Xenopus tropicalis: one gene and its partners. The protein of the gene in region 4 interacts with the protein of the main gene of each other region in a pairwise test. Links are inferred from orthologs where the notes say so. Each region holds a gene or a part of one and is shown on either strand. Other genes may lie near its edges. The genes, in order: tsc22d4, hyi, ppp1r18, tex11, efhc1, ing3 and mapkbp1.

Region 1 (4,284 bases), on a different chromosome or scaffold from region 4:
AGTAGGGGGTACAGGGTAAGTACAATAGGCTGGGGGGGGGGATACACAGAGTAGGGGGTATAGGGTAAGTACAATAGGCTGGGGGGGGGATACACAGAGTAGGGGTATAGGGTAAGTACAATAGGCTGGGGGGGGGGGGATACACAGAGTAGGGGTATAGGTAAGTACAATAGGCTGGGGAGGGGATACACAGAGTAGGGTATAGGGTAAGTACAATAGGCTGGGGGGGGATACACAGAGTAGGGGGTATAGGGTAAGTACAATAGGCTGGGGGGGTATACACACAGGAGTAGGATAGTAGGGGTATAGGGTAAGTACAATAGGCTGGGGGGGGGGATACACAGAGTACGGGTATAGGGTAAGTACAATAGGGGGGGGGGGATACACAGAGTAGGGAGTATAGGGTAAGTACAATAGGCTGGGGGAGGGATACACAGAGTAGGGGTATAGGGTAAGTACAATAGGCTGGGGAGGGGATACACAGAGTAGGGGAGTATAGGGTAAGTACAATAGGCTGGGAGGGGATACACAGAGTAGGGGAGTATAGGGTAAGTACAATAGGCTGGGGAGGGGATACACAGAGTAGGGGAGTATAGGGTAAGTACAATAGGCTGGGGGGGGATACACAGAGTAGGGGTATAGGGTAAGTACAATAGGCTGGGGAGGGGATACACAGAGTAGGGGAGTATAGGGTAAGTACAATAGGCTGGGGAGGGGATACACAGAGTAGGGGAGTATAGGGTAAGTACAATAGGCTGGGGAGGGGATACACAGAGTAGGGGAGTATAGGGTAAGTACAATAGGCTGGGGAGGGGATACACAGAGTAGGGGAGTATAGGGTAAGTACAATAGGCTGGGGAGGGGATACACAGAGTAGGGGAGTATAGGGTAAGTACAATAGGCTGGGGAGGGGATACACAGAGTAGGGGAGTATAGGGTAAGTACAATAGGCTGGGGAGGGGATACACAGAGTAGGGGAGTATAGGGTAAGTACAATAGGCTGGGGGGGGGATACACAGAGTAGGGGAGTATAGGGTAAGTACAATAGGCTGGGGAGGGATACACAGAGTAGGGGAGTATAGGGTAAGTACAATAGGCTGGGGAGGGGATACACAGAGTAGGGGAGTATAGGGTAAGTACAATAGGCTGGGGAGGGGATACACAGAGTAGGGGTATAGGGTAAGTACAATAGGCTGGGGGGGGGGGGATACACAGAGTAGGGGGTATAGGGTAAGTACAATAGGGGTGCAGAGAAGGTTGGGGGTGAAACTTGTACTGGGGCTGAGGGAAGTGTGAATGGGAGAGTGAGGGGAGGAGGAGGGCAGAGAGGCAGAAGGAGGAGGGCAGAGAGGCAGAAGGAGGAGGGCAGAGAGGCAGAAGGAGGAGGGCAGAGAGGCAGAAGGAGGAGGGCAGAGAGGCAGAAGGAGGAGGGCAGAGAGGCAGAAGGAGGAGGGCAGAGAGGCAGAAGGAGGAGGGCAGAGAGGCAGAAGGAGGAGGGCAGAGAGGCAGAAGGAGGCAGTGAGAGGCGACAGATACAAGAGGTTGGACTTCCTGACACAGGAGATGTCAACAGGCTGAGTAAGGAGGGAGGGAAGGAGGGAGAGACTGCGAGAGAGAGAGGGAGAGAGAGGGAGAGAGAGGGAGAGACTGCGAGAGAGAGAGGGAGAGAGAGGGAGAGACTGTTTCAGGCCACAGAACATGAACTGAGAGACTCACAAACCTGCAGCTGCATGGAGAGAAAGTTTCCTGGAGTCGTGTGAGGCATGGAGCATCCCTGAGTGTGAGAGCCATCTCCCCTGAGAGTGAGTGGGGGAGCCAGGAGGAGTCACACAGAGGGAAGGTAAGAGTGAGAGTGAGTGGGGGAGCCAGGAGGAGTCACACAGAGGGAAGGTAAGAGTGAGTGTGAGAGTGAGTGGGGGAGCCAGGGGGAGTCACACAGAGGGAAGGTAAGAGTGAGTGTGAGAGTGAGTGGGGGGAGCCAGGGGGAGTCACACAGAGGGAAGGTAAGAGTGAGTGTGAGAGTGAGTGGGGGAGCCAGGAGGGGTCACACAGAGGGAAGGTAAGAGTGAGTGTGAGAGTGAGTGGGGGAGCCAGGAGGAGTCACACAGAGGGAAGGTAAGAGTGAGAGTGAGTGGGGGAGCCAGGAGGAGTCACACAGAGGGAAGCTAAGAGTGAGTGTGAGAGTGAGTGGGGGAGCCAGGGGGAGTCACACAGAGGGAAGGTAAGAGTGAGTGTGAGAGTGAGTGGGGGAGCCAGGGGGAGTCACACAGAGGGAAGGTAAGAGTGAGTGTGAGAGTGAGTGGGGGAGCCAGGAGGGGTCACACAGAGGGAAGGTAAGAGTGAGTGTGAGAGTGAGTGGGGGAGCCAGGAGGGGTCACACAGAGGGAAGGTAAGAGTGAGTGTGAGAGTGAGTGGGGGAGCCAGGGGGAGTCACACAGAGGGAAGGTAAGAGTGAGTGTGAGAGTGAGTGGGGGAGTAAGGAGAGACTTGTACCTTACCTGAGAGACAGAGGAGTAAGAGAGAGTCGAGTGAGAAAGTGAGTGCAAGAGATGGAGCTTTACTTAGAGTGGGGCTGATTGGATTGGAACTGAGTCGGGGGCTGAGGCTGATGGGAAATATTCTTGTACTGGGGCATTTGGGATATATACAGTGTATGTGCTGGTACCTATGAGAGACCCCCCCATCATCCTGTCTGTGGGGGCCCCCTGCTCCCGTCTGACTAACTCCTACCCATAATCCACCCAAACCCCACAAACTCAGTGCTGGAATTGGGGTGAAAAAACAGAGGGATGCTGTGGAAAAATAGGCCCCACCCACTGCTGTAATAAGCCACACCCACCCATTACATTACATTACAGGGGGGGTTGTTTTGCCCTGATGTAGGAAGTGAAATTCTAAGACCATCTGCAATTGGTTTTCTTTTTTGTGGTTTTTGAGTTATTTCGCTGTTTTATTCAGCCGCTACCTGGTTGCTAGGGTCCAAATTACCCTAGCAGCCAGGCCTTGGTTTGAATGAGAGGCTGGAATTGGAATAGCGGAGGGCTTGGATACAAAGATGAACATTTGTTTTTGAGATGTCGGGGGTCAGCGACCCTCATGTAACTGCCGGACGGATTCAGAACGAGGCAAACCATTCAAAAACTATAAAGCAGAAAAAATAAAGCCCAACTGAAAAGTTGCTTAGAATTAGCTTCCAGCACATCTCACCTTTCCCCAGTTTCCCAAAGGCCCACAGGCCGCTAATAATGTGCGTTATTGGGCCCACTGGTGCCACGGTCACATGCTGTAATGTCTGCAACCTGATTGGCTGAATACTGAGCATTTCTATAAAAACGTATAACTTCCCATTGGCTAGGCGGGGGCTTACAGGGTTACCCCCACGACCCATTAGGCAAACCGCCCCTAGTTGACTGGGTGCCCCCTGCATACTCTGTGCCAAAGGTACCGTGGGGCCACCAGGAGCCGCACAAATATAACCCCCTGCTGCGCACAGTAAAGGAGAATATGAGTGCCAGGGAGCCTGAGAGCAGTGATTGGCTGTGCCAATTCCCCGGCCTTGAATTGTTTTTCAGCTTTTATCCTTTCATGTGATACCATAACACAGGCTATAACTCCCTGCACTGACTCCCCACGCTCTATTGGCCACCCTGTCACTGCCGGCCTTACAGTGCATCATGGGATGTAGTTCTTCTGTATATCCCTTAACCCACAGCAGCTCTTCCTCCCTCTTCTACCAATCACTGCTGCCTCAGTGTGAATATACAATCCTTTATGTTTATACCATATCCCTGCAGCCCCTCAGTGACTGCTAATATCCTTATCATTTACAGTAGGGGGTACAGTATCCCTTATAATACATGAGTGATACTCAGAGTTCCCTGTATAACTCAGCCTGCAGCCTTGTGCCTTTATATGGGGGGCACAGAACCCCTCAGTGACTGCTAATATCCTTATCATTTACAGTAGGGGGTACATTATCCCTATAATTACATGAGTGATACTCAGAGTTTCCCTGTATATACTCAGCCTTGCAGCCTTGTGCCTTTATATGGGGGGCACAGACCCCTCAGTGACTGCTAATATCCTTATCATTTACAGTAGGGGGTACATTATCCCTTATAATACATGAGTGATACTCAGAGTTCCCTGTATAACTCAGCCTGCAGCCTTGTGCCTTTATATGGGGGGCACAGAACCCCTCAGTGACTGCTAAATATCCTTATCATTTACAGTAGGGGGGTACATTATCCCTTATAATACATGAGTGATACTCAGAGTTCCCTG
Region 2 (4,110 bases), on a different chromosome or scaffold from region 4:
TATTTACTGATATACAGTATGTATTCCCTTATGTTAAGGCCACTTAACATAATATAAACCATCTGTTGGTTAAGTATTCATTCTGGGGGTATAGTTTTCATTTAAAGAACCCAAGTCATAAAGGTTCTATGATGAGCAATATTATTGATAAAGTCTTGCACAGTACTACTCTTATTTCCTATATGGGATTCTCTTATGCAGTGTATAAGTAAATGGAGAATGACTCAGATTTTTTTTGTTAAATGTTGCAGTTTTCATAAGTTAAGTCTAAAAAATTTTCGTGATTTTTCCCACGTGGACTTTTTTATTGCAGATTTCTTAGTTAATATAAGACATTCATGGAAACAAGTTTGTTAGTTTTTGCAAATCTGCCCCCACAACTTGGAAGGAAGAATGCAATGTTCTATGATGAGTTTATTCTATTGCTGTCTAGGCAAATATTTCCATGACAAAATGTAAGGATATTTCAGCGAGGTAGACACTACTATTGTAAGAAAAACTTGGCCCAACTGATTCTTTTGCTTTACCGACTTACCATGTTGAGGTGTGTTCAGGAAATAGCGAGGTTCACTGATTAGGGAGTTTATAGGTTCCAGAAGTCCCACCATTCCAGCCTGTGTGAATATTTTATTTGAAGTTATAAACATATTTTACTCGCTTTATATACTATAAAATATATATCCAAAACTCACACACCTGTGCAAGGATGTCTGCTGCATACTGGAGGTTTTCAATAAATGTCTCCTCCATCTCTTCCTCAATATTTTGTCGTTCCAAACCAAGTGGCACTCGTCCTGCCATGATATGAATTCTAAAACATAACAAAGAGAGTTAATTTTATAAGACATCCACTCTGGCATACGCAAAACTATAATATAAATCGAAGCTATGCTTTCAGAATAAATACTTAACCAACAGATAATGTATCATAAAAAGCGGCCGATTATACTATCTCACCATATTACTATTAAGTAAATATTGCCCTTTTACATCTTTTGCATTGAGCCACCATTTTGTGATGGTCTTACTGTAAATTGTTCTTACTTGTGCAGCAACCTACAGCTATTAGTAGTATTTTATTTTTTAGCCAGCTGGAGAAAGTACAATGAAAGCAAATGCTGCCCAGGTGCAAATTTGCCCAGTATTCATAAATGAGTTCCCCACTGTGTTATGCTGCACTCTGTGTTAAATGCATCAAGAATAAATCCTATGACACCTAAGTGTTATAATCAACCCATGGCCAATCATTTGTATAGGTATTTGAATTCCAATGTGATTTCTAATATTACATTTTGGGAGTACATTAACAAGGGATAACTGAAATAGATGAATTTACTGTAGGTATGTGACCTGAATAGATAGATAGAGCGTTCTCTAAAAGAGATTATACAGTCTATACAATCAGTTTAAAATATTTTCTTGAATTTGCAACTCTGTGACAACAGAGAGGGGCAAATACAGGAATATATTTCTCTGTACTCTTCAATAGATATGTAATCTACAGTATGGTATTTAATAAGCATTAGCATGTACCTGTCACATCCTAAATCACTGGCCCACCTGACAGCTTCATTGAGACCTGTTCGGAATTCATCTTGCCTGCCAGGCACAGCAGCAAGGCCAAGTTCACCAGCTTCTATGTTACCTGCACACAGAGAATATATTCAGTCCAGTTGTCTGACAGATACATGTCCATTTGCAGGACTCACGTGACAGTTGCTGTCAAAGCACTTATTATAAGATCATGTGTACAAGCATTGCTGGTACTGTGTGTAGCTTCCGAATGAACTTATGTTACATGTGAAAGTCTATGTGAAAAGTCTGTGTTACCAAAATAAAATCATATTTCATTGGTGAACATATCATTAACGTGTATGGATGTCTGCATTAAAAGAAAGCAGATCTGTGACTAATAATTAGAAGATGGTGCTAGAACAGGAATGCAGAAATTAAAGTAATTAGCATTACTTTAATGAAAAGTAATTAGAGGAGGTGAGGAAGGCCACTACCCCCCCCCCCCACACTTGTCACCTGGGGCACAGTTGGGCACTTGCCTTGGGGACTTGGTCCGGCACTGCATAAATTATTCATATATAGTCATATTTTGACAGGACCTTTAGATTGTAAGGTCTATTGAGCAAGGACATTCTTTTCCTCTCCTATTGATTAATATTTGTATCTAATTTGTTTGATGCATAGACCTTGCATACACCCCAGTGCTGCAGTATATGTTAGCTTTACCTTTTAGTACAATGTAGTGAACTTATGAGAATTTTCAGTTGGTCTTCATTTTTTATTACTTGTGGTTTTTTATTTATCTTTTTGTTTAGCCACTCTCCAGTTTGTAATTCCAGCACCTAATTGGTTGCTAGGGGACAATTTATCTTAGCAACCAGGCTGGAATATGAATAGGAAATGTCTGAACTGAGAGAAAAGTAATAAAAATAACAATACAACTCGCAGATAGTTTCTTGGCCAGTTACTACAGAAGTGCATCTAAATTAGAATATTCGGGACACAGTACAACGCGAAGGCGCCTTCCAACCCAGGGGCTAGGTGATCTAAAGCTATTCAGTACAATATGATTAAAGCCAATTGTACCTGGTGGGGTGTTGAGTAGGACCAGACTAGTGTTGTGATTGTTTAGTGCCGCCTTAAAAAGAGTCCTATCGGAAGCGTAGGGCCAGGCCACCTCAACCGCTCGGAAGCCGCTCTGAGACGCAGCCTCAATACGGCCCGGAAAATCAGGCACGTCCTGAAACAGCCAAGAAATATTGGCCGAAAAATGCATGGTATTCACCGGGAAACTTCGCTATATTGCAGCCCGAAAGCAAGGCGGTATTACAGGCAAAGAGAGGCCGAGGATACGCCCACCGTGCTAGATCGGGAGCAGGAGGCAGGCGGGGTGTGCAGGCACAGGGGTAATGGAAGTCTGAGTCTTTTCCGGACACGGCCTGTTAAAGGAACAGTAACACAAAAAAATAACTTTAAACATATCAGTCTTTTTAAAACTAAACTTAAAGACTACCTTTTGGAGCACTCACCCAGCACTTGATCTGGGAACTGGCACTTATATTGTAATGTCACCCACTGTGACCTATAGCACTTACATTTGCCCATTTGTGTCTGTTAGTTACCCTCCCATATAGATTGTAAGCTCTACGGGGCAGGGACCTCCTTCATCTTGTGTTTCTGACTCTTATTGCAACTGTACCTTGTATTTATTGTATTTATTGTTGTACTTTGTATTTATCCATTATCTATAACCCCCTGTTTGTATTAATGTATTCTACTGTACAGCGCTGCGTACATTAGTAGTGCTTTATAAATAAAGATATACATACATACATATCCATTCTAAATATTTTATTAATATATGTAGCGTTTAAAAAAAATGCAATATTCTACAGGGTTTTAAAATAAATCACATTACCAGTACTTTACTGTGCAGAGCTTGAAAGGGCGACTTCCGGTTTAATCCGGAAGTTAAATGCCGCATTCTTCAGAGTCTGTTGTGAGTGATTTATGGGCTGTTAGCAGTTGGGGCATGGAGAGGGAGAGGAGAGGGATCAAAGACATACCGTTCCTTCTGTCCAGCTAAGTCTGCATCGCTGTTTGAAGTAGCGCTGTGTGTGCCTGCATTAGGAGAGGAAGGGGGGTGGAGGGGGGAGTTGAACGGAAGCGTGGTGCAAGACTTGGGAGTAAACGGCAGCCTGTTCTCTATAAATCAATGCTAAAGTAAGATTTCTAAAAAAAACACTGCTGCTATTGAAATTTCTGTATGATATATTTGATAATCAAAGTGTATAGAAGGGATATTTTGAATGTTAAAAAATTGTGTTACAGTTCCTTTAACTTCGCAGGAATGGGCACCGTTGTGATTAATGAAACACTCGCCTGTTACTGAGTAACTTTTTAGGGGGCAAACAGAAGTGTAACCAGCCATGGGAAGTGTTTGGCCGCTCTTTAGCAAGGCTGCCAGCTTGGCATTTCTGCTGCCCCACCTGTTCTGCTCTAAATAACACTGACAGTGTGCAACTCGCTCTACAGGTACGGGGCGCCCTGCGGCCTCCACAGTTGCCGGTATTATGGGACGTGGAGATTCCATTT
Region 3 (4,255 bases), about 31 Mb from region 4:
AGTAATGACAGGAAAATAATTTCATACAGCTAAAAAAGAAAGTTACACTTAAAAAGTCAAATGACATATAAAGAAGCATGTGTAGAGTTCATTAGAGAGGAAGAGAAAGAGGAAGAGAAAGAGGATACGCAGAATAAAAAGAGAAATAAGCATGGGGGTAAGAAAAGGCTGAAATACACTGTTAGAGGGCTTAATTAAATGTATGGACAAAACAATTCTGCAATGTTTTATACAAAATAAGGGTCTAGATAATGTAACTAAGGTTCTGAAAGTATTTTCAGTATAAGGCATTACAATTTTGAATTAAAATTTAAAACTGTTTAGTATCAACCTTTATACATCTGTTTTTCTCATGGTACAAACAAAATCTTACAGATTATAATTGTCTGGTCTTCAAGTTGGGAAACTCTTCAGATACAGATCTGTGGAACAATTGGAGCAACCAAATTAAAATGAGGAGGATGGAATTGTCTAGACTGACAGATAGCCATACTGCTGAACCAGACAAAGAAATGTAAAACATACATTCTGAAAAGGGAGAAAAAGCAAAATAGGAGAACTAGATACAAATAATTCAGACATGCCTGCAAGAGATGAGTGGGCAAACAGGAAAGAGGGAGATGCACTGACAGTTCTACAGAAAACGGAGGAGATGTACATCGCTAAGGTTTAGGAGATTCATGGAAGGTAAAGACAAAAGCAAAAAAATAGGCAGCTGCATACACAGCAGTACTTTCTATGCACCGAGTAAAATAGATTTAAACAGTGAGAAGGATGTTAAGTCTATATATTTGTTTGTCTATGTATGTATGTAGGAGACTGTATATTATCGCACAAATAACACTAAAGTATGAAAATATACTGCATAACCTGTGTTGTAGCGATTGGTGAGGATTTAAACAAAAGGTAAATCAGAGTATGTTCTTCTCTCAAAAAATACTTACTAGAGTGGGAATCACACTTTATAGTGGCACCAAAGAAATAGAATAGAGGACAAGTTGGTGGAAGATATGAAGTGAGAGTGCGCAAAAGTGATCTCATTGTACTTGTATGCACATATGAAATGACATGCAGAAACCCACAGGATATAGTCAGATATGTTACATACCTTTATTGTGAGTAAGCAGGCACAATCCCCTCTAATACATCCTATAGCCCAGCAGGATGCCTTGATGTTAGGAGAAGTGAACTGATGTCTGGAGCAGTTTCCTTTGTTAAACTTAAACCCAAAAACATAAGAATATGTAGCGTTTCTCTGTGGAAAGTCCCAAAGCGTCACACGTCTTCAAGTGAGCCCAATTCCTTCAGACCCTTAAAGCAAATACAGATGTACAATGTAAAGACTAGGGACTTATAGCTTGGGCAACCTTTGCATTGGAGAGGAATTCCCAGAGAGTGAAAGAGAAGGGTGTGTAGGAAGAAGGGATTGAATCAGACAGAAGGAGAGAGGGGGGTGGAGGGTGAGGTTCCAGCTATGCATAATGCTAAGAGTAAAGGGGGAGGGTGGAGAGAGGAAGGATGGTGGGGGGAGATACTACAGACAAGTTAACCCTTACATAGCACTGTACTTTTTTCTATTGACATCGGTAAGGCAAATGGGCTTTGTTTTAAGAAAATGCTGGGATTTTTAGTTTTTAAAAAATCATTTTAATGCCCTATTGTGAAAAAAAGCAAAGACTGCTCTTAAATATCCACTACAAGACACACACAGACATTCTGTATTTTTTATACTCAAGATACTAAATCAGTACAACGTACACACAACAGTGGGGGACAGGATGGGACTAATGGAAAAAAATACTAAGCAACAGCACATGACAGATTATTTATGCTTTAACATAAATATCCTAAACAGTAAGAAGTTTTAGCTTTTTGGATGTTTGTTTTGAGTTTAATAACATACTACTAAGGCAAATTGTGCATGAAATAAGAGCTACCTCATGTATTATATTTTATACTATTTATATGGACGGACACAACACAATACAATACATATGTAAAACTTAATGCAGAGTGCTTCAGTTATGCGTGGTTAGGGTGAATTTACAGACTGAACACTAGAAAGCCACACAAAGTATAAGAAACTGAACCATAGGCAACAGTTACACAAAGCTGGTTTTTGGTCTGTGTATAAATGCAGGCCAAGAAACAGATGAACCACTCACCTGCACACAAAGTGAATTTCAGCACAGAAAAGTGTCAATATGCATTTTCACACTGAAATCTGCTCTGTGACTGTACACAGGCTGAAGCAGTGCTTATTAGCACAGATACCAGACCAGGCTGATTTGAGTGGTTGAGCTGCTACTTGCATCTGCATTTATATGCAGCCAGAGTTGGACTAACTCTGTGGGCTTCCACGACCCAGACATGATCTCCTTTCCCTGATCGTGTTGAGGTATAATGTAAGCACACTTGGGAGGGATGGAGTTGGTCTGTGGTGCCCCTGGAGGGGGTGTGGAGGCCACTGCTGAGGCCCCTGGGGCGGCAAACTAATGGGCCCTGCACAACCCAGTCTGACCCAGTATGCAGCCCAAAAAACAGCTACATGTGATCATAGCCTTAGCCATTGGCATTTATTTTGTGTATAACCTGATCATTCAGCATAATGCATTTGGGCTTGTGCGCCATGCTACAAGGTTTTTAGCAATCCTATTTAGGGAAAATATAATCCATCACAATCTGAACATACTTCTTACTCCAAGTATTTTTATCCTGTAGTTATATAGCGCTGACCTATTTTGCAGTACATTTATGGAATGCGATATTTGGAAATCTTTTTATTTTGAAAGTTCTGAAATACAGGAAGCCCACCACCCATAGACTCCATTATAAGAAAATAATTCTATTTTTTTTTTAAATGATTTCCTTTTTCTCTGTAGTAATAAAACAGTACCTTGTACTTCATCCCAACTAAGATATAATTAATTCTTATTGGACACAATACAATCAATACAAGTACCTTTTTTAGTCGATTTAAGGTATGGAAATCTAAATTGTGGAAAGATCTCTTATCTGGAAAACTACGAGCATTCTGTATAACAGGTCCCATACTTGTACTTTACAGAGATTACATACTATATTATATACTTTTGCATCAGGCCCTGCCCCTTTTGAAGCTTACAATCTAGGGTCCCTATCACATTCACACACACTATGATCAGTTTTATAAAGGAGCCAGTTAACATTCCTGTGTATAGATATAGATAAAGCTATGGTCATTGCTATTAGCTGCAGTACTCTTCCCTTAACCAGATCAATAGGCATTGTGTACATCAGTGCTGTCCAACTGGCACAACCGCACTCTATACTAGAATTAAGCCAAATTTGTAGTTTAAAGAAATGCTGTCATGAGGAACCATGTTTTTTTTTTTCAAAATGCATGTTAATGAAACTTCTCCAGCTGAATCCTGCATTGTAATCCATTTTTTAAAAATACAGGATTTTTTTTTTTATATTTAATTTTAAAATTTCACATGGGGCTAGCCATATTCTTAATTTCCCAGGGTGCTACAGCCATGTGACCTGTGCACTGATAAACTTCGGTCACACTTTACAGCTGAGCTGCAACTTGGAGTGATATCATCCCACTCCCAGCAGCTGATCATCAGAACAATGGGAAGGTAGCAAGATAGCAGCTCCCAGTAGATATCAGAATAACACTCAATAGTAAGAAATCCAAGTCCAGCTTGAGACTCCTCCAGTTACATGGGAGTAAAAGAAACAATAGGTTACCTGAAAGCAGTTCTAATGTGTAGCACTGGCTCCTTCTAAAAGCTCAGACTCCGGCACAATGCACTGAGATGGCTGCCTACACATCAATATTACAATAAAAAAAAACCCCAAAACATTTGTTGGTTCAAGAATAAAATTTTAACTGGTAAGAGTGGATTATGCGCTATGTAAACAGTGTAATTTAGAAATAAAAAGTACACCATAAAAATCATGACAGTATTCCTTTAATAACCAGAATTTCAGCTCTTAAAGATACCAGGAGCAAATTTTTTTTGCCAGCCCTGGTGCAGGGCAACTGCCACCCGAGTCAAGATTCTCACCTTGCCCGACGGTAGCAGTGTCCTTGTATGTAGGACATTTGATGCTCGACTTTACAGCACTCAATGAATAAGTGCCAAGTTGGACATTACTTTGCCAATTAATTCGGTGGGTCAGTGCAACTTGATCTTGGACACCACTTTGCCAATCAATTTTGTGGGCATTACTTTGCCAGTTATGTGCATTACCAGCCTTCAACTGC
Region 4 (4,213 bases):
TCTATGGGGGCACTCGGGGGCACTGTGTATTAGGGGTACTGTCTATGGGGGCACTGTGAATGGGGGGTACTGTCTATGGGGGCAATTTGGGGCACTGTGTATGGGGGGTACTGTCTATGGGGGCAATTGGGGCACTGTGTATGGGGGTACTGTCTATGGGGGCAGTTGGGGGCACTGTGTATGGGGGCAATTGGGGGCACTGTGCATGGGGGGTACTATCTATTGGGCCTTTGGGGGCACTGTGTATGGGGAGGCAAAACTGGTAGATAGTTATAACTCACTTATAACTCTCAACTGACTGCCTTCTCTCTATATTTGTATTTTATATGTAGTTGCTATATTGCTTTCCTTAAGTAGTACAGTATGAGGGTATAGCACACTTGCGGTGGTAGTTGGGGCGTGGCCACAAAAGTAGGCGTGGTCAAAAATTTGCTGCGCTGCACGCCAAATCTTTTTGTCCCTCTTTTAATTTTTCAAATGTTGGGGGGTATGCAGATGCAAGAGCACCAAGTAGTACAAAATCATATTAATTTACACATCTCTTGCATCCAGAGCACTGTTGTACTCTGCATTTTGCTTAGGATTAAAAATGTATTACAGGCCAAAGGTGGGCTGCCATAAGGGAAGAATGTGTGCTTATTTGTCAGTGTTTACAAGTATATTTTATTTCATTTTAAAAAAAGCAATAAATGTCAAGCAATGGGACCATTTTTATACATGAATGTTACCTGTTATTCTTTTCAAAGACGACCCATCCTCCATTTTCATCAATCAACCAAAACCTCTAGAGAAAGAAATTCATTTAGCAGATTATAGAGCCCAGGAGTACATTATTATGCGCACAGAGAAACATTACAGGGGTTATACATTAGTCACATTAATCTGTGCCCCAGTGGAGTTTACAGTTTAAGGTCCCTAGTTTTCAGGTATGCTGAAGGTATTAACTGAGGCACTGCCCATATCTCCCAGAGTCACAGTTGTTTGACAGACGGTCTAGAGGCCTGAAAAAGGGAAGGGGTTTTTCAACAAATAATGGGTTAAAGGAAGATTTGGGAGTGTTGGGTGTAGCTGAGTGTGGCTAGGATGAGCCAGGTGTGGGACTAATTTGGTCTGCATTTGGAAATTTAAATGTTGGGAGTTATACTGAATAAGTCACATGTAAATATGTTTTTTACTTTTTAGGGAGGTTAAGCTGCCCTAAATCTTTATTTTTGTCCATTTATGCTAGATATCTTCAGGGCAGCAGGATGTCTGTTGACACACTTGAAACATCTGTCTGCTGTGATATCTTACTCACTGATCTGTTATAACAACTAAGGGTGTATGAATGTATGGGGGATGTAAGGGGGGTGAAGGGCCCACCGGGGGGGCAGGCCCCCCAACCCCCCTCGCAGGGCCCCCCACCCGACGTCCTACCCCGAGAGCGTAAATTTAACACGTCAGGGGAGGAGTGGTCGGGTAGGTGGAGCGCTGCAAGAGTCGGGTCTGGGCCGTCGGGGCCCACCGGGATTTTTCCGACCCTGTATGTGAATAAAGTTGTAAAGATTCTGTGAATGTGGCTTTAAATAAATGGTTCCTGACTTCATCTATAAGTGCTGTGTGGATCTCCAGTTTATTCCACTGTGGTATTGACAGGGATAAATCATTACCCTCCCAACAACCATTTACTTCACCAGTTGCAAATCAGTTGCATCCAGCGCCGGATTTGTGTTCCGTGTGCCCCTAGGCCGCCCCCCCTCTCCTCCCCGAGCGCGCATGTGCGAACTCCACACCCCCCCCCCCGGCAGCGATTGCGCATGCGCAAATAGTTCAACTCCAATACGGAGCAGTGGGGAAAGGTCCCCATTTCTCCCTATGGGTGCAAAATTAAAAAATTTTGTTGCGGCGGGGTGGCATGCTGCCCCTAAATTTCTGCCTCCCTAGGCCCGGGCCTTTGTTGCCTCTCCACAAATCTGGTCCTGGTTGCATCTGTAGGTACAACAAGCTAAAGCCATAAAAGTAAAACCTTTCGTCACCACATGGTAATGCCCCATATAATTCATTAAATCAGGCTGAATCAATGCATTTTCACTTGTGCATTAGGCTGATGGCAGACGAGGCATAGGGCGGATATTTTCGTGAAGTGAAAACGAGGTTTGTACGATATTATCGGTGTGTGTATGGCCGGTTTAAGGGTAATAGGCATGGCAAAATGCAGCGCTATCTCATGAGGGAGATAATAATCCAGTCCCGGTGTTTTTAGGCCTTCACGCTTAATGATAACATGAAATAAGGTCTCAAAAAGGCCTGAAATTGCTTATTATCTCCCTCATGACATGGGGTTGGGTTATTTTCTGCAATTCGCTGGGGGGGCAATTCCAGTGTTTCATCTCTCTACACCTCATGACTGAGCTTGAAAGGCCCTGTCTGCTATTATATCTTATAATACACAAACCCTTATATAAATTCACAACGGCATGTATATTCTCCCTCTCACACATATATGCATAAAATATTTTGTTTGTATAATCCTCTCACACTAGAATTGCCACATTCTGGAAAACAATTACCAGTCTCCCTATGTTTGTATGTTTTGCCAGGCGGGCAGGTGGCAACACTACCTCTCACACACAGGCACAGATATTATAAAACTGTCACACACATGCACAAACACACACATTTGCATTCACAAGTTATACACCATCCATACGGACTGACAGATTCTCACATATCTACACAAACAGGAAGAGAACCTGCTCTCTATACCTGAGGGGATTCCCTGCTCTCTATATCTGAGGGGATTCCCTGCTCTGATTCTCCTCACAGCTGCTTATTAAGGAAGGGGCGGAGCTAAGTCCCAGCCACAGAACCACACAGTAAAACAGGGTTACTCAGAGTGAATAGCCCAGCAGGCTGGGCCCATTACAGCAAGATTGAAGCCTTACTTAATTTAAGCTTTTTTTTTCCTACAGAAATGCTCAAATAAAGAAAGACAAAAGCATATTTCTTACTATGAGGGATAATATTTATGTAGGCAAGGAGTAGACTGAGCATGTTCACTGTGAAGGGAGTGACATCTGGAAAATCTTCATGTCTGCTTTATAGTATCACAGAACAGCAAAACAAAGCAATGGCATGAACAGATTAAAAAAAATTTCACTGTGACCTTCACTGCGACCTTGTCTTTCTATTTGTCAATATGTAATATATGTCAATAGGGATAATGTCTCCTCTGTCAACTGTCTAATATTTCTATTTCAAATTGAAATCATGGAGTCTGAACTATGTTAGTAAGAACAGGATTACATGAGTCCATATACACAGGTCCCTATATATAGGGGCTAGGGCTACATTTATTTCAGCATGCTTTGCACTTACATTGCCTCCAATATAGTCTGGCAACTTCATTTTGAGCCTCAATTCTGGGTTTGTTTAGAGAATGATTAAGCTGTACAATATAATGCTGCGCAGTGACAGTGTAACAAAGTTCTTTCTATGGGACTGCCATCCATGTGCACCATTTTATTTAGCACTATTATGAGTAGTAGAATGGTGTCAAGTATGATTGTCAAGGACGTTGTTGCTATCCTTTAGGGCTCTGGCACACGGGGAGATTAGTCGCCTGCGACAAATCTCCCGTGTCTCGGGCAACTAATCTCCCCGAAATGCCATCCCACCAGCGAAAATGTAAGTCGCCGGTGGGATGGCATACGTGGCATACTGAAATCACGCCACCGCGTATGCCATCCCACCAGCGATTTACATTTTCGCCGGTGGGATGGCAATCCGGGGAGATTAGTCGCCCGCGAACAGGGAGTTTTGTTGCGGGCGACTAATCTCCCCGTGTGCCAGAGCCCTAAGGGTGAAAACACAGTGAGCTACTAGTAGCAGCTACTTTCATGTTTACTTAACTCCAGAAATGACCTTGCCATAGACAATATTTAGAACTGCTTCCGCTAAAACACACATAAAGACAATTATCAGTAAATGATTAGCATTGTCTATTTTAGTAGCCACAACAAGTAGCTGCTACTAGTAGCTCCATGTGTCTTCACATTGGTCATTGGCACACATAGAGATTGCAACAAATCTCCCTGCAATGCCATCCCACCGGCTAGAATGTAAATCGCCAGTGGAATGGCATACGCGTCGCTGCAATGTCCCGAAGTCGCCTGAAGTTGTCTTGAGAGGAAACTTCGGGATATTGCAGCAAGCGTATACCATCCCATCGGCG
Region 5 (3,500 bases), on a different chromosome or scaffold from region 4:
AACCCAGCCTCAGACTATAAATGCCCCTTTGCCTCCACTAGGAGCCCTTCAAAACTGCCCCCCGTTATACTATGGAGTTCCATAAGTGCTGATGAAGGAGTTAAACGTATAAACTGGAAAAGACTAAATCAAGTTTAGATGTAGGTGGAGATTAACAGGTCAGCCTGGTCAATAACTGATAAGCTCAACCAAAACAGGGAAAGTTAAAGACCAAAACCCGGAGCAAAACTGAGAAAACAACCCCAGGAAAAACAGAACGAGGAAGAGGAACCGGGTACAGAACAGAACTGCAACAAGGACAAGAATCAAGGTGTTTGTTAGACCCATCTCACTTGGGGGAGGAAACAGAGCAAGAAGATTCTACTAAGTAGGGCACTAACTAATGAGGAGCTTCAATATATGTTTGAAAATCATATATAATCCCAAAGCGCTGCAGGACCCTCTAACTGCTAGTAACATGAGTGTCTTATCAGCAGTTTTGCTGTCCTTGAAGCCACATCTCTAGGGCCTTGAGCACGTTGACATCTACTAACTTTTTTTAGATCCCAAAAATCCCTAAAAGAGCAAGCGTGGGTAGGCCTAAACCTGGTCCACAAGTGCACTTCACTTCCATCTCAGAGCTCACCTTGTTTGGGCAATACAACACTCTACTGAACTTCTAAAAAATGTTGTTACCATCTGTAGATGTTCCCCCAAACCCCACGACCATCATCAAACATGCCCTCTTGAGTTCTAAAATGCATGGATTGCGCCTGTGAAATGTACTCATAGCTTGGTGGCAATATCAGAAGAACGTCAGTAGAAGCCTACATCATACCTGGACTTGGTGGTAATATCAGAAGTAAATCAGTAGAAGCCTACACCCTACGTGGACTTGGTGGTAATATCAGAAGTAAATCAGCAGAAGCCTACACCCTACCTGGACTTGGTGGCAATATCAGAAGTAAATCAGTAGAAGCCTACACCCTACCTGGACTTGGTGGCAATATCAGAAGTAAATCTGTAGAAGCCTACAACCTACCTGGACTTGGTGGCAATATCAGAAGAACATTAGTAGAAGCCTACACCCTACCTGGACTTTGTGGCAATATCAGAAGTACATCAGCCTACACCCTACCTGGACTTGGTGGCAATATCAGAAGTAAATCAGTAGAAGCCTACACCCTACCTGGACTTGGTGGCAATATCAGAAGTAAATCAGTAGAAGCCTACACCCTACGTGGACTTGGTGGTAATATCAGAAGTAAATCAGTAGAAGCCTACACCCTACCTGGACTTGGTGGTAATATAAGAAGTAAATCAGTAGAAGCCTACACCCTACCTGGACTTGGTGGTAATATCAGAAGTAAATCAGTAGAAGCCTACAGCCTACCTGGACTTGGTGGTAATATCAGAAGTAAATCAGTAGAAGCCTACACCCTACGTGGACTTGGTGGTAATATCAGAAGTAAATCAGTAGAAGCCTACACCCTACCTGGACTTGGTGGTAATATCAGAAGTAAATCAGTAGAAGCCTACAGCCTACCTGGACTTGGTGGTAATATCAGAAGTAAATCAGTAGAAGCCTACACCCTACGTGGACTTGGTGGTAATATCAGAAGTAAATCAGTAGAAGCCTACACCCTACCTGGACTTGGTGGTAATATCAGAAGTAAATCAGTAGAAGCCTACAGCCTACCTGGATGACCTTCTCTTCCTCATCTTCTCTCTCCTTGTTAACCTCAACAGGCTGAAGGTCTCCGATCCCCATTTTATCTCTGTAGAAGTCTCGAGTGTAGGCATCACAGTCATAGATAAAGAACTTGCGTCCTAGAATACTAATGTGCTTTCCTACTTTGAAATCTCCAGGGGAAAACCATTCCTTCACCTCTTGGTCTGAGATCTCCAGCACACACATTGGGAAGGTGTCTGGTCAACGCAAACATGGAGGGTCAGAAACACAGAAACAACAATAACCTAATAACGAGTCATTGTTTTTTTAGCATTTCCATATACAGTCGGCTATTAGACCCGCCCTATCTGAACAAATTGTTCCACACCCCTTCCAACACCATCAATACTTTCAATAAGTAGGACACTTTACTTGATATAACACATGTTTGGGTGTTGGATTATAAGAAAATTATATGTAGAAACCTCTTGGAGGACCACGTCCATCTCTTGGGTCTCCAGTGGAAGAGTATGGCCAACCAGCATATACAACAACCTCACACTATAGGTCTGAAATAACCCACCATTCCTTAGCTAGCTTTCTAGAGCTTCCTTGAGATATGTGTTCTAAGCCAAATTAATCTAAGGGTGGTGGTGGAAGCATATTGGGACCCAGAGCTTCTCCTTGGGTTCCCAGAAATGAGGTTCCCAACCCCATACCTTGCAGTTCCCTACCCCAGTAGGTAGTCTTACCTTTTGTATCATTCACCACTTTAGGTAAGTGTTGGCGTTTCATCAACACTGGGAATGGGTCGCGTCCATCGTTTCGCTCATGCACTTCCCTGATTTCCACTGTGTCGTCAGACAGGTAGTAGTGAATGAGCACCGGGTGCTTCTCTCCAAACATGCTCTCCGTGTCGTCCCACACAGCAAAGAAGCGCAGAACCTGCAGAGGGAGTCAAGGAGTTTTATTCTGGTTTTATTGGGTTAGAAGGTCCATACTTATATCGCATTGTGTATATATGACCACTAGGGGTGCTGTTCCCTTGGTCTTTAGGTGGGCACACAAGCGAGGCTACAGGTTCAAGACCAGAGTGACCTAGATTATTGACGCCCTCGGACTCACCTTACGGTCCATAGTGAGGTACTGCTTGAGCTTATCGAAGTCGGATGGGGTGACGAATGTGCGATTGGGCCTCCTCCTCAGTTCAGTAAATGGGTCTGTAGGGATGCCCTCTGGGGGGTTCAGCTCGATGCCCTCGCTCTCCAGGAATTCCTGCCCACGCCAAGCAAGAGATTCTTGTTAATCAAAAACATTAGCAATATGGTTCCTACAGGTTGTAGGGCGCGTGAAGCGCGTCAGGTGATAATTTGATTTGCCTTTATGCAAAGTAAACTGTTTCCTATCTATTCAGCTGTTGTTAGGAAACTGGGGGACAATTTTTCCCTTTCATATTGGGGTCCAAGGCTTCCTGCAATGGCCAGACTCCCCCCAACTCTCTTTATGGCCAATGGAACAAAGGTACCTGTGTGAAACTGTCACAGCTGATAAGGCGGAAGGTTCGGCCGTACAAAGTGACGTTGATCCCCACATTTAGATCCTTCCAGTGATAGGGATCCCCGTTTGCATTCTTGGGGTGTCTTTGGCGCTTGATAAATGTTCCTTGGGGGATGCCGGAATTTTCCATAGGTGGCTCTATCACTGATATAGTGTCATCTTCCAGATAGTAATACAGCGTGACTCTGCGCACTCGGTAGTGCTCCTCCGGGGACAGGGGGACAGTCTCTTGGAAGTAACCCTCAAACCTGAGCACCTGAAAGATTATGGAGAATGAATCACTTACTGGCAA
Region 6 (4,046 bases), on a different chromosome or scaffold from region 4:
CATCTGCATCTTCCAAAGCTTTGAAGTAATCCTGCAAGTAAATAATTCACACTAAGTCAAAAATTCATATGGTGTTATGTACTAAAAGGTACTAAATTTGGCCTGGGACAGTAGCACTCAGTGATAAGTCACTAGGTAGTTTTTTTTTTTTTTTTACTGATCATCTGTTTAAACGCAGACATTTTATGGGCTGCACATGGGCAACCTTTTTATTATATATGGAAGTTTAAAAATAGGTAAAATACACACAATACATATGCAAATGTATATGACAACCAAATCTCAAACTGCCATACCTTTTTGCATGAATTATTTGTACTGTTTCCCCTCCTTAAATGTTATATTCAGCATAATGAAATACCAAACAATATATTTAATAATTTAAAGTAATAATGTAAAGAGTATGCAGCTGCCATCTTGTACTGTACAGGATCTACCAATGATACCTACTTGTAAAATTAATGTACCAAAAAAATAGTAACACCAAAAATACATGCATTTAAACGTAATGTACTGTTATCCTTCACTAGTACAAAGATAAACAGGAGACAGATGTCAGTTATGGCTCGCTACTGAACAATATACTGAAACCTCTGACATATAAAACATAATGTTGCAAATAAATTTTTATTTGGAGGTGCTTCATCAACAAATTCACAATTGAAATGAATATAAGAATATATTGTCACTTTTTGATGTTACTGGTCCTTTAAGATACATATAGCTCAGAATTTACAAGCACTATATAAAGTTATATAAGCTTATTTGTTCAAGTAAATATTAATTATTACACTTGTCAAAATATAACACATAACAAAAAATAACACCATATGCAAATAAACTGCATACATTTGAAGGGGATCTAAGCCAAAAAATAATATTTTGCCAAGTAAAGAAAATGTAATTCTAAGCAACAATTTTTTGTAAACGTTCGAAAGTTTGAAGTCGAAGTCTGACTTCTTACAGAACCTTGTGCAGTTGTCAAAAAATGTCTTGGATGTTTTAATGCATAAAAAATTGAAATGATGAATAATAAATGCAGGAGAATTAAAAGTTCAGAAACGTTCTGCAACATCTCTCAAGTGCAAAATATGTCAAGAATGAATAAAGATAAATCATTCCTTGTGTAGTCAATAAATTCAAAGTTGGATACCTCTGTATAAATAGTTTGCTACAGATACAACAAATTTTCTTTTTGCACTAACCTTTTTGATAGAAGCCATTTGTTCTTCCCTCCATTCCGGTTTATTTTTCTTAGCATTCATGAAAAACTCCCCAACCCTTTGTTCTAATTGGTCCATGGCATCTGTATTACAAAGAATCAATTACAAATTTCAAGCAACAAACCTCAAATCTTCAACCTTATCTTTACTGTGAATTTTAATATTGTATGTTGGAAGTTGATTATAAATTAACCTTAAAAGTTGTATGCCGATTTCTGATACAAGCACATCTTCATACAGTCAATATTCCACTGACACTATGTGCACAGATGGTACAACCCCACCAAAACACACAACAGATTTAGCGACTGTGCATGTAATTCAGCACCTGCTTGGACACAATTGTTTTAGAACTAATACAAACAGGGGAAAAGAGTGAGTTTTTTGTATGTTTGTTGAGGCTACCAATAGATGGCTTTCCATGAGACAGTTTAAAGCTATATATGCTATATGTCAGTTTCTCTCTTTTTTGAGAAAGGCTGGCCCTCCCTAACCCATCACCCATGAGCATAAAATAAAGTATTTGCTTGCAGACCTTACACAAACTATAGGGAACACTGCACACAGCTGCAAAATAATGATGCATGACATGTAGAACATCTTGTTTTATAGCTATATATAAGTTAAATGAACCTATTTACAAGGAAGAGGAATCAGTATCTGGAGCAAAAATAAAGTTTACTTGACAGTAATCCCTGCTGAAAGGCACAGCAGATAATGGAGCAGATGAAACCTAACAAACAGGTTTAGTACAAATTGTGCAAGGACAAAGGCACACTTTATTTCAGGTCATTATGCCTTTAATGTTCAATTCATTAACTCTAACTTAGCAATTCCAAAGGGGGCTATAGCCCTGAGCTATAGAGTGTTTCCTCCATTTTGAGTTTTCAATTATAACAAAACAATATAAACTTTATTGTGATGAACCCCTAGTGATACAAAACGAGTTTCTGAATACTATGAATCTGTGGGAAACAAACAGACACACTGTAGACTGCGTTTTATTTTACAAATCAAGATGCTGAGTATCTAATATTGCCTGCTCGACGCACCGATGTACAATACTGGGCAAGCAATTGGGATTTGTTTTGGTGCTAAAAGGGCACGTGTGAGACAGCTCAGTACTTCCTCCTAGCGACCAACCACAGCACTGCACTGGATGTACATGGTGCTTTAGCTGCTGGCGCTACCTCTGCCACCGACACAACCACATGTTTCCGGGCCTGGAGTCACCAGGCCACACACATACACCCGTTAGTCGTCGGATAAAGAGCCGAAAGCCGCTCACGTACTCTGCACCTGCAAGTCCATCTCGCGCATTTCCGTGAACCTGTCGCGCAGATCCATGGGAAGCTGCTCGATCACTGCAGAGAGACAGAAGGGAGGGGGAGAGGGCGGTTAATAGGGGGTGTTGCTGATTAAAGCCGTAGCCCTCTCTGTGGCGCACTTTGCGCCGTTCATAGCACGAAAGGCAAACTCACTCTCCAGATAATCCTCCAGGTACAACATATTTTCGATTTCACGAACGCAAAGGCCTCAGCAACGGATGACTATTTTTCCCAGACAATATGGCGCCGAGTCAGGAGCTGCAGAACAGAAAAGGAGAACAGCAGCTGCTTGGCGCATGCGCTGGCTGCTCGCACTTCCGATGTCAACGCCTTTTAATGCCGCAGGGCACTATGGGGATTGTAGTATTTTTGTCAGTTTGCGCTATACTCACTTTTGTTTTTGCTTGGCCGAGGTTCTTTAGAAGAAGAGAAACTTTAGGCTGTGGGATTAGGAGTGGTTTTTATTATTGAAGAATGGATGATTATTTTAAATATACTTTAATAAAATAATATAAAACTAGGTGGTAGTTCATCGGTGTGTAAAATGGTGGAAGAAGGGAAAGAGCCAAGATTGTTTGTAGACAATGCTCAGTGGAATAGTCAATACCACATATACCTGCTTTAGTTAGTTTCATCTTGAGCCAAATAACCTACCTGTATTTTTAGTTGTGTGAGAGGAAAATAAGTTTTGGAACACATCCACCAAGACCTAAAATGCCAGGACGTTAATTCCCTGGTCAAAATGAAACCCAGGAAACTAGAGCTGCTTTGACTTTGCATTGACAAGTGTAATTTTTACTAAATGTCATGGTACAATTCCAGCCAGGTGACATCCCTTCATTTTTGTTTGCACACGGTTGGGCCCATAGAGGCCCAGACTGGCAATGTGTGGATTCTGGCAACTGCCAGAGGGGCTGCTGTAACATGCTGTAGATAGTCACTATTTAGTGGGCTTGTGGGGGGCTGTTTGGGCCTCTGTGTACCTGAAATTCTATAGCCTATTTTGAACCCTAGTCGAGGCCTGTGCCTAAATCTAATCATTTACCTATTGTTAGTGTTATTAGGGATCAAAGATAACTAGTGTTTTGAAATCACCAATATTCAAATAATTTTATATTTTTCTATAAAAAGCAACACCCTGTATATATAGCATATAGGAAGGACAGCATTTTTTTCATAGAAAATGTAGAACTTAATAAAAATAAAATCATCTGCTATTAACTCACCACACTTAAGAACTTTCACCCCATTTTCTTATCCTGGTGATCTATTTATCAGTTGGAGCATTAGTAGGAAAATCTTAAAGAGTTACTGACACCAGAATTTAAACCATCTGTCATAACATTGTATTTGGATGCTATTTATAATGGTTTCCTTAAGAGTATTTGCCCAATGCTTTTATATTACCTATCTGATCCCACTTGATCAACATAAGAAGCTATAACAGACAAGTTGAGAAGTGACAGTCAGGTCAGCAAAACAGTCAGGCTTACTA
Region 7 (3,500 bases), about 60 Mb from region 4:
ATGATTTATTGCATTGGAACAATCCATTTGTGGGTATACTATGGCAATGATGTGTTGTGCCTCTAAAATTTGTGCTTGAAATGCAGCCAACAATTAAATACTGGTGTACAACTAAAATATAAGCCTTTTGTAGCGGGCTATAATTATATTTACAGGGTTCATATAATAATAAAACTCAAATGATTATGAACGCGGTTTCCACCCCACAGCACTCTTTACTCATTGAACAGGATAACGCTCATTATGTACCAAAATTAATTAGCACTCAAGAAAATGCAACTGGAGTTGCTGAGAGAAGAGCACCTACACCTAGTGATAATGTAGATTTTGCTTTTAATTCTATTCAAATGGGAACTATGGAAACTTTTACAGTATATTAAGTTTCTTATAACATTCAAAAATACAAAAAAAACAAAACATTCTGAAATACCTTAAAGGAGAACTTAACCTTAAAAATGAATATGACTACAAATGCCATATTATATATACTGAATTCAATGCACCAGCATAAAGGTTCAGCATCTCTATAGCCGCAATGATCCAGGTCTTCAGAGTTGTCACAGGGGGTCACTTTCCTCACAGGAGGATGACGCCGTCGCAAATCAAGCAGAAAACAAGGTTTGCCTGTCATATAATCTGATACTACAGGGTTGATTATTAAATTCTGATGCTAATTGTGCGGCTTTTGGAGCTGCTATGTAATTACTTATCAGCCTTGTATAGTGAATATTTTATTATATATAAGCTGTATATTTTTAGTCCGTCCCTAAGCTTAGGTAACTACTGTCAGCAAGATGGGGAGCTCCTGTGACAATTTTGAAAACCAAGATCATTACTGTTATAGAGATGCTGGACCTTAAGGCTGGTGCATTAAGCTCAGTATATAAAATATGGCATTTCTAGGGTTTAGTTCTCCTTTAAGAATTAATGGCATATAAACAAACTCTGAACTTCGGCCTAAAGCACTTTGAGTTCCTGCCATGCTGCTAAGCCTACAGTCATTTCACACATTAATTGGCTTTCCAACTACTCATACACACTAGGTACCTGAACTGGCCAGGCACAGCAAGGGGGGGAAATTACCACCTAGAAGAGAGGAGTGCACCGTGTGGAGCAGGAGTTTTGACAGCTCAACAACTTAACTATTTTGTATTTAATCATGATCTCTTGAAAGGAAATGAATGGCAGTTAGAACATCAGAACACCACAAGGCATATACATAAATAGCAGCATGTACTTTGATACGTCAAGTATTAGATCCATATATATTCTCATCTGCTATGTCACACCTGGCTCCTTGGATTATCTGTATCCACAAACTCCATTCCAAGCCCCTCGCTAGGCTGGAATCCAATTACGTCATCACTTGGGGCAAAGGAATCCAGTTGTCTCAAGTCAAGCATGGACTTAACAGTCATCTCAATGTTACCAGCAGGTTGGGACCAACGAACACGTTGTCTGGGCATCTTACTCAGGCAGTCTGATCTTTCCGAAGATGCGTTTGTGCCCTTAAGTAGACGATTAAAAAAAAAAAAAAAATTGGACATAAGAGCAAATATACATTTGTAACAGTGACAATGAATGTAAGAGATTGAACTTGTATAAAACAAGTAACCAAATAGAAGAACTAAAGCAGCCAGGGTGAGAAAGAAAAGTAAGATATAGAAATCCTTATGTAGCCTATAAAACACCAGCAACATGCCTGTCGAGTCTACATCCAAAGAAGCTGTAGGCATAGGATGAGTCTGTAGAGACATTACTACACTTACCCTTTTCATTTCCCAGTAAGAAAGGCTTCTTCCAAAAGAACTGGAGGCACTGGAAGTCTTATCAGACCCTACACAGCAAATGATACAATAAAAGCATTATTTAAACCATAAGTGTTATATTGAGAGAAAATGAAATAATTAAATGAAAATCGGCATTAGGGAAGGTCCTTGCCTGCCATGTCCTCATCACTGCCATCTTCCACCCCTTCTTTATCACTGTCTGATGACATTGCAGGGGCTGTAGACATAACAGCAATGGTCTCTCGCCTGTAAAAAAAAAAAAAAAAAAAGTGCTGAATTAAAAGTGAATGTTATGCTTCATGTAAACTTGATGCAACTGCCTGGAAAGTCACTATCAATGTAATTAATAAGGATGCAATGAATCCACTATTTTGGGATTAGGCCAAACCGGAATCCTTCATAAAATATTAGTCTGAGCCTAATCCAAATGCTAATTAGCATATGCAAATTAGGGCAATGATGAATGAAAAAACCGCATGTGCAGTGAGTGGTGAAAAATTTCTGTGTTTATGTGACAAAAAGGCACATGATTTTAAGGATTCCGAATCCTGGATTTGATACATCCCTAGTAAATAAAACATAAAACCACATCCACACACTGATATTCATAATCCAACATGTTTCCAACATGCTGCTTTGAGGCAGACATTTTGGAGCAAGGATTGCCCATGTATGACACAAACCTTAGGCTAAGGTACACACCACCAACCAGATCACCCAATCTGCCCCTAGCTGATGTAGTTAGTAGTGATATGTTGGTTGGACAGATTTAGTGGGTTCAGGTTAAAAAACTGGGTGACCATTGTGGGTTTGTGTTGGGTGTGGGCCAGAGAGGGAAAGTATGCTCTCTATCTGCCCCCAAAGAACTTGAGAAGTAGTGTACAGAGCAAGAACTCAGGTACGGCCTTGGTGCAGGTCAGGGTTGGGTGCGGGTTGAGTTCTTCCTGACTTGTACATAACGGGTAGTTAGCTTCACTTATGATCTGGCTAAATCCAACATCATGGTCCATTGCTGGAATAGGCATGGGTGAAGATGCCTCATGACATCACTGCAGGTCATCAGAAAGCTACAAATGATGTGCTGTACCACAAGGTATCACTATGCTTCCAATAAGTATATGAAAGAGGTGCAGTGCTGGCCACGGTGACTACTGAGAGACACTCTGAAATCATGCAGTCAATGCAGTCAAGTTCAAAGTGCTAAGAAATTGGTGAGCTGAATAAACCAGCATTGCATTTACCTTGCATTTGGCGTTTTGTGTGGTGCAGACATCTCCACTTGCTTCCCACGCTGCCTGACTTCTGCTAACCTCTGGCGCATATTAATGGTCATCTCTGAGCTCAGTCTCCAAATGAAAATGCAGCTGCAAGAATAATGCATGCTGGTTAGATGGGGTGTGACAGAGGGGGTTTTATTATTTTTTTCTCATAATGTTTTTGTCATACTTTATAAGTGTGCTTCCTTAAAACAACATCTTTTCTTGCTGCAAAGAACTCAACCATGCTGTTTTGCAATGGTTTTAAAACTGCAAATTGCTAATTTGTGCTAAAATCAGCGGATCTGTATAGGTGACATCTGTTAGCGACAGCCAAATGTGGTTGAAGCCAAGAAAAAAAAATATTTTCTGTAGAAAAATGAAATCTGTAGTTACCTCAGCGGGTTACATAAAACACTAGCACATATATGTAATAAAAAGAACTAAGTTTACC

What was found.
Region 1: the proteins of tex11 (region 4) and tsc22d4 interact in a two-hybrid assay, tested with the Homo sapiens proteins (2 studies listed by BioGRID and IntAct). The two-hybrid records come from large-scale screens. The link is inferred for Xenopus tropicalis from reciprocal best matches to the Homo sapiens genes TEX11 and TSC22D4.
Region 2: the proteins of tex11 (region 4) and hyi interact in binary tests that used the Homo sapiens proteins (3 or more experiments, as listed by UniProt). The two-hybrid records come from large-scale screens. The link is inferred for Xenopus tropicalis from reciprocal best matches to the Homo sapiens genes TEX11 and HYI.
Region 3: the proteins of tex11 (region 4) and ppp1r18 interact in binary tests that used the Homo sapiens proteins (3 or more experiments, as listed by UniProt). The two-hybrid records come from large-scale screens. The link is inferred for Xenopus tropicalis from reciprocal best matches to the Homo sapiens genes TEX11 and PPP1R18.
Region 5: the proteins of tex11 (region 4) and efhc1 interact in binary tests that used the Homo sapiens proteins (3 or more experiments, as listed by UniProt). The two-hybrid records come from large-scale screens. The link is inferred for Xenopus tropicalis from reciprocal best matches to the Homo sapiens genes TEX11 and EFHC1.
Region 6: the proteins of tex11 (region 4) and ing3 interact in a two-hybrid assay, tested with the Homo sapiens proteins (2 studies listed by BioGRID). The two-hybrid records come from large-scale screens. The link is inferred for Xenopus tropicalis from reciprocal best matches to the Homo sapiens genes TEX11 and ING3.
Region 7: the proteins of tex11 (region 4) and mapkbp1 interact in binary tests that used the Homo sapiens proteins (3 or more experiments, as listed by UniProt). The two-hybrid records come from large-scale screens. The link is inferred for Xenopus tropicalis from reciprocal best matches to the Homo sapiens genes TEX11 and MAPKBP1.

The regions. Positions count from the first base shown.
Region 1 is NC_030679.2:151,477,036-151,481,319, forward strand, and holds the start of tsc22d4 (TSC22 domain family protein 4), read left to right. Parts: upstream 1-1,484; 5' UTR 1,485-1,578; intron 1,579-1,603; exon of another isoform or gene 1,604-1,840; intron 1,841-2,007; exon of another isoform or gene 2,008-2,115; intron 2,116-2,198; exon of another isoform or gene 2,199-2,445; intron 2,446-4,284.
Region 2 is NC_030680.2:88,658,968-88,663,077, forward strand, and holds the start of hyi (putative hydroxypyruvate isomerase), read right to left. Parts: upstream 2,801-4,110; 5' UTR 2,792-2,800; coding exon 2,602-2,791; intron 1,646-2,601; coding exon 1,534-1,645; intron 812-1,533; coding exon 697-811; intron 615-696; coding exon 536-614; intron 1-535. UniProt on the Homo sapiens protein: Catalyzes the reversible isomerization between hydroxypyruvate and 2-hydroxy-3-oxopropanoate (also termed tartronate semialdehyde).
Region 3 is NC_030684.2:75,522,123-75,526,377, forward strand, and holds the start of ppp1r18 (phostensin), read right to left. Parts: upstream 2,801-4,255; 5' UTR 1,109-2,800; intron 1,067-1,108; exon of another isoform or gene 945-1,066; intron 423-944; exon of another isoform or gene 374-422; intron 1-373.
Region 4 is NC_030684.2:44,770,251-44,774,463, reverse strand, and holds the start of tex11 (testis-expressed protein 11), read right to left. Parts: upstream 2,801-4,213; 5' UTR 2,746-2,800; intron 785-2,745; 5' UTR 769-784; coding exon 729-768; intron 1-728. UniProt on the Homo sapiens protein: Regulator of crossing-over during meiosis. Involved in initiation and/or maintenance of chromosome synapsis and formation of crossovers.
Region 5 is NC_030681.2:150,471,709-150,475,208, reverse strand, and holds part of efhc1 (EF-hand domain-containing protein 1), read right to left. Parts: intron 3,465-3,500; coding exon 3,177-3,464; intron 2,927-3,176; coding exon 2,777-2,926; intron 2,597-2,776; coding exon 2,404-2,596; intron 1,909-2,403; coding exon 1,679-1,908; intron 1-1,678. UniProt on the Homo sapiens protein: Microtubule inner protein (MIP) part of the dynein-decorated doublet microtubules (DMTs) in cilia axoneme, which is required for motile cilia beating.
Region 6 is NC_030679.2:69,340,354-69,344,399, reverse strand, and holds the start of ing3 (inhibitor of growth protein 3), read right to left. Parts: upstream 2,801-4,046; 5' UTR 2,733-2,800; coding exon 2,705-2,732; intron 2,588-2,704; coding exon 2,516-2,587; intron 2,465-2,515; exon of another isoform or gene 1,417-2,464; intron 1,307-1,416; coding exon 1,206-1,306; intron 32-1,205; coding exon 1-31. UniProt on the Homo sapiens protein: Component of the NuA4 histone acetyltransferase (HAT) complex which is involved in transcriptional activation of select genes principally by acetylation of nucleosomal histones H4 and H2A.
Region 7 is NC_030684.2:105,038,432-105,041,931, forward strand, and holds part of mapkbp1 (mitogen-activated protein kinase-binding protein 1), read right to left. Parts: intron 3,155-3,500; coding exon 3,032-3,154; intron 2,037-3,031; coding exon 1,942-2,036; intron 1,838-1,941; coding exon 1,770-1,837; intron 1,509-1,769; coding exon 1,290-1,508; intron 1-1,289. UniProt on the Homo sapiens protein: Negative regulator of NOD2 function. It down-regulates NOD2-induced processes such as activation of NF-kappa-B signaling, IL8 secretion and antibacterial response. Involved in JNK signaling pathway.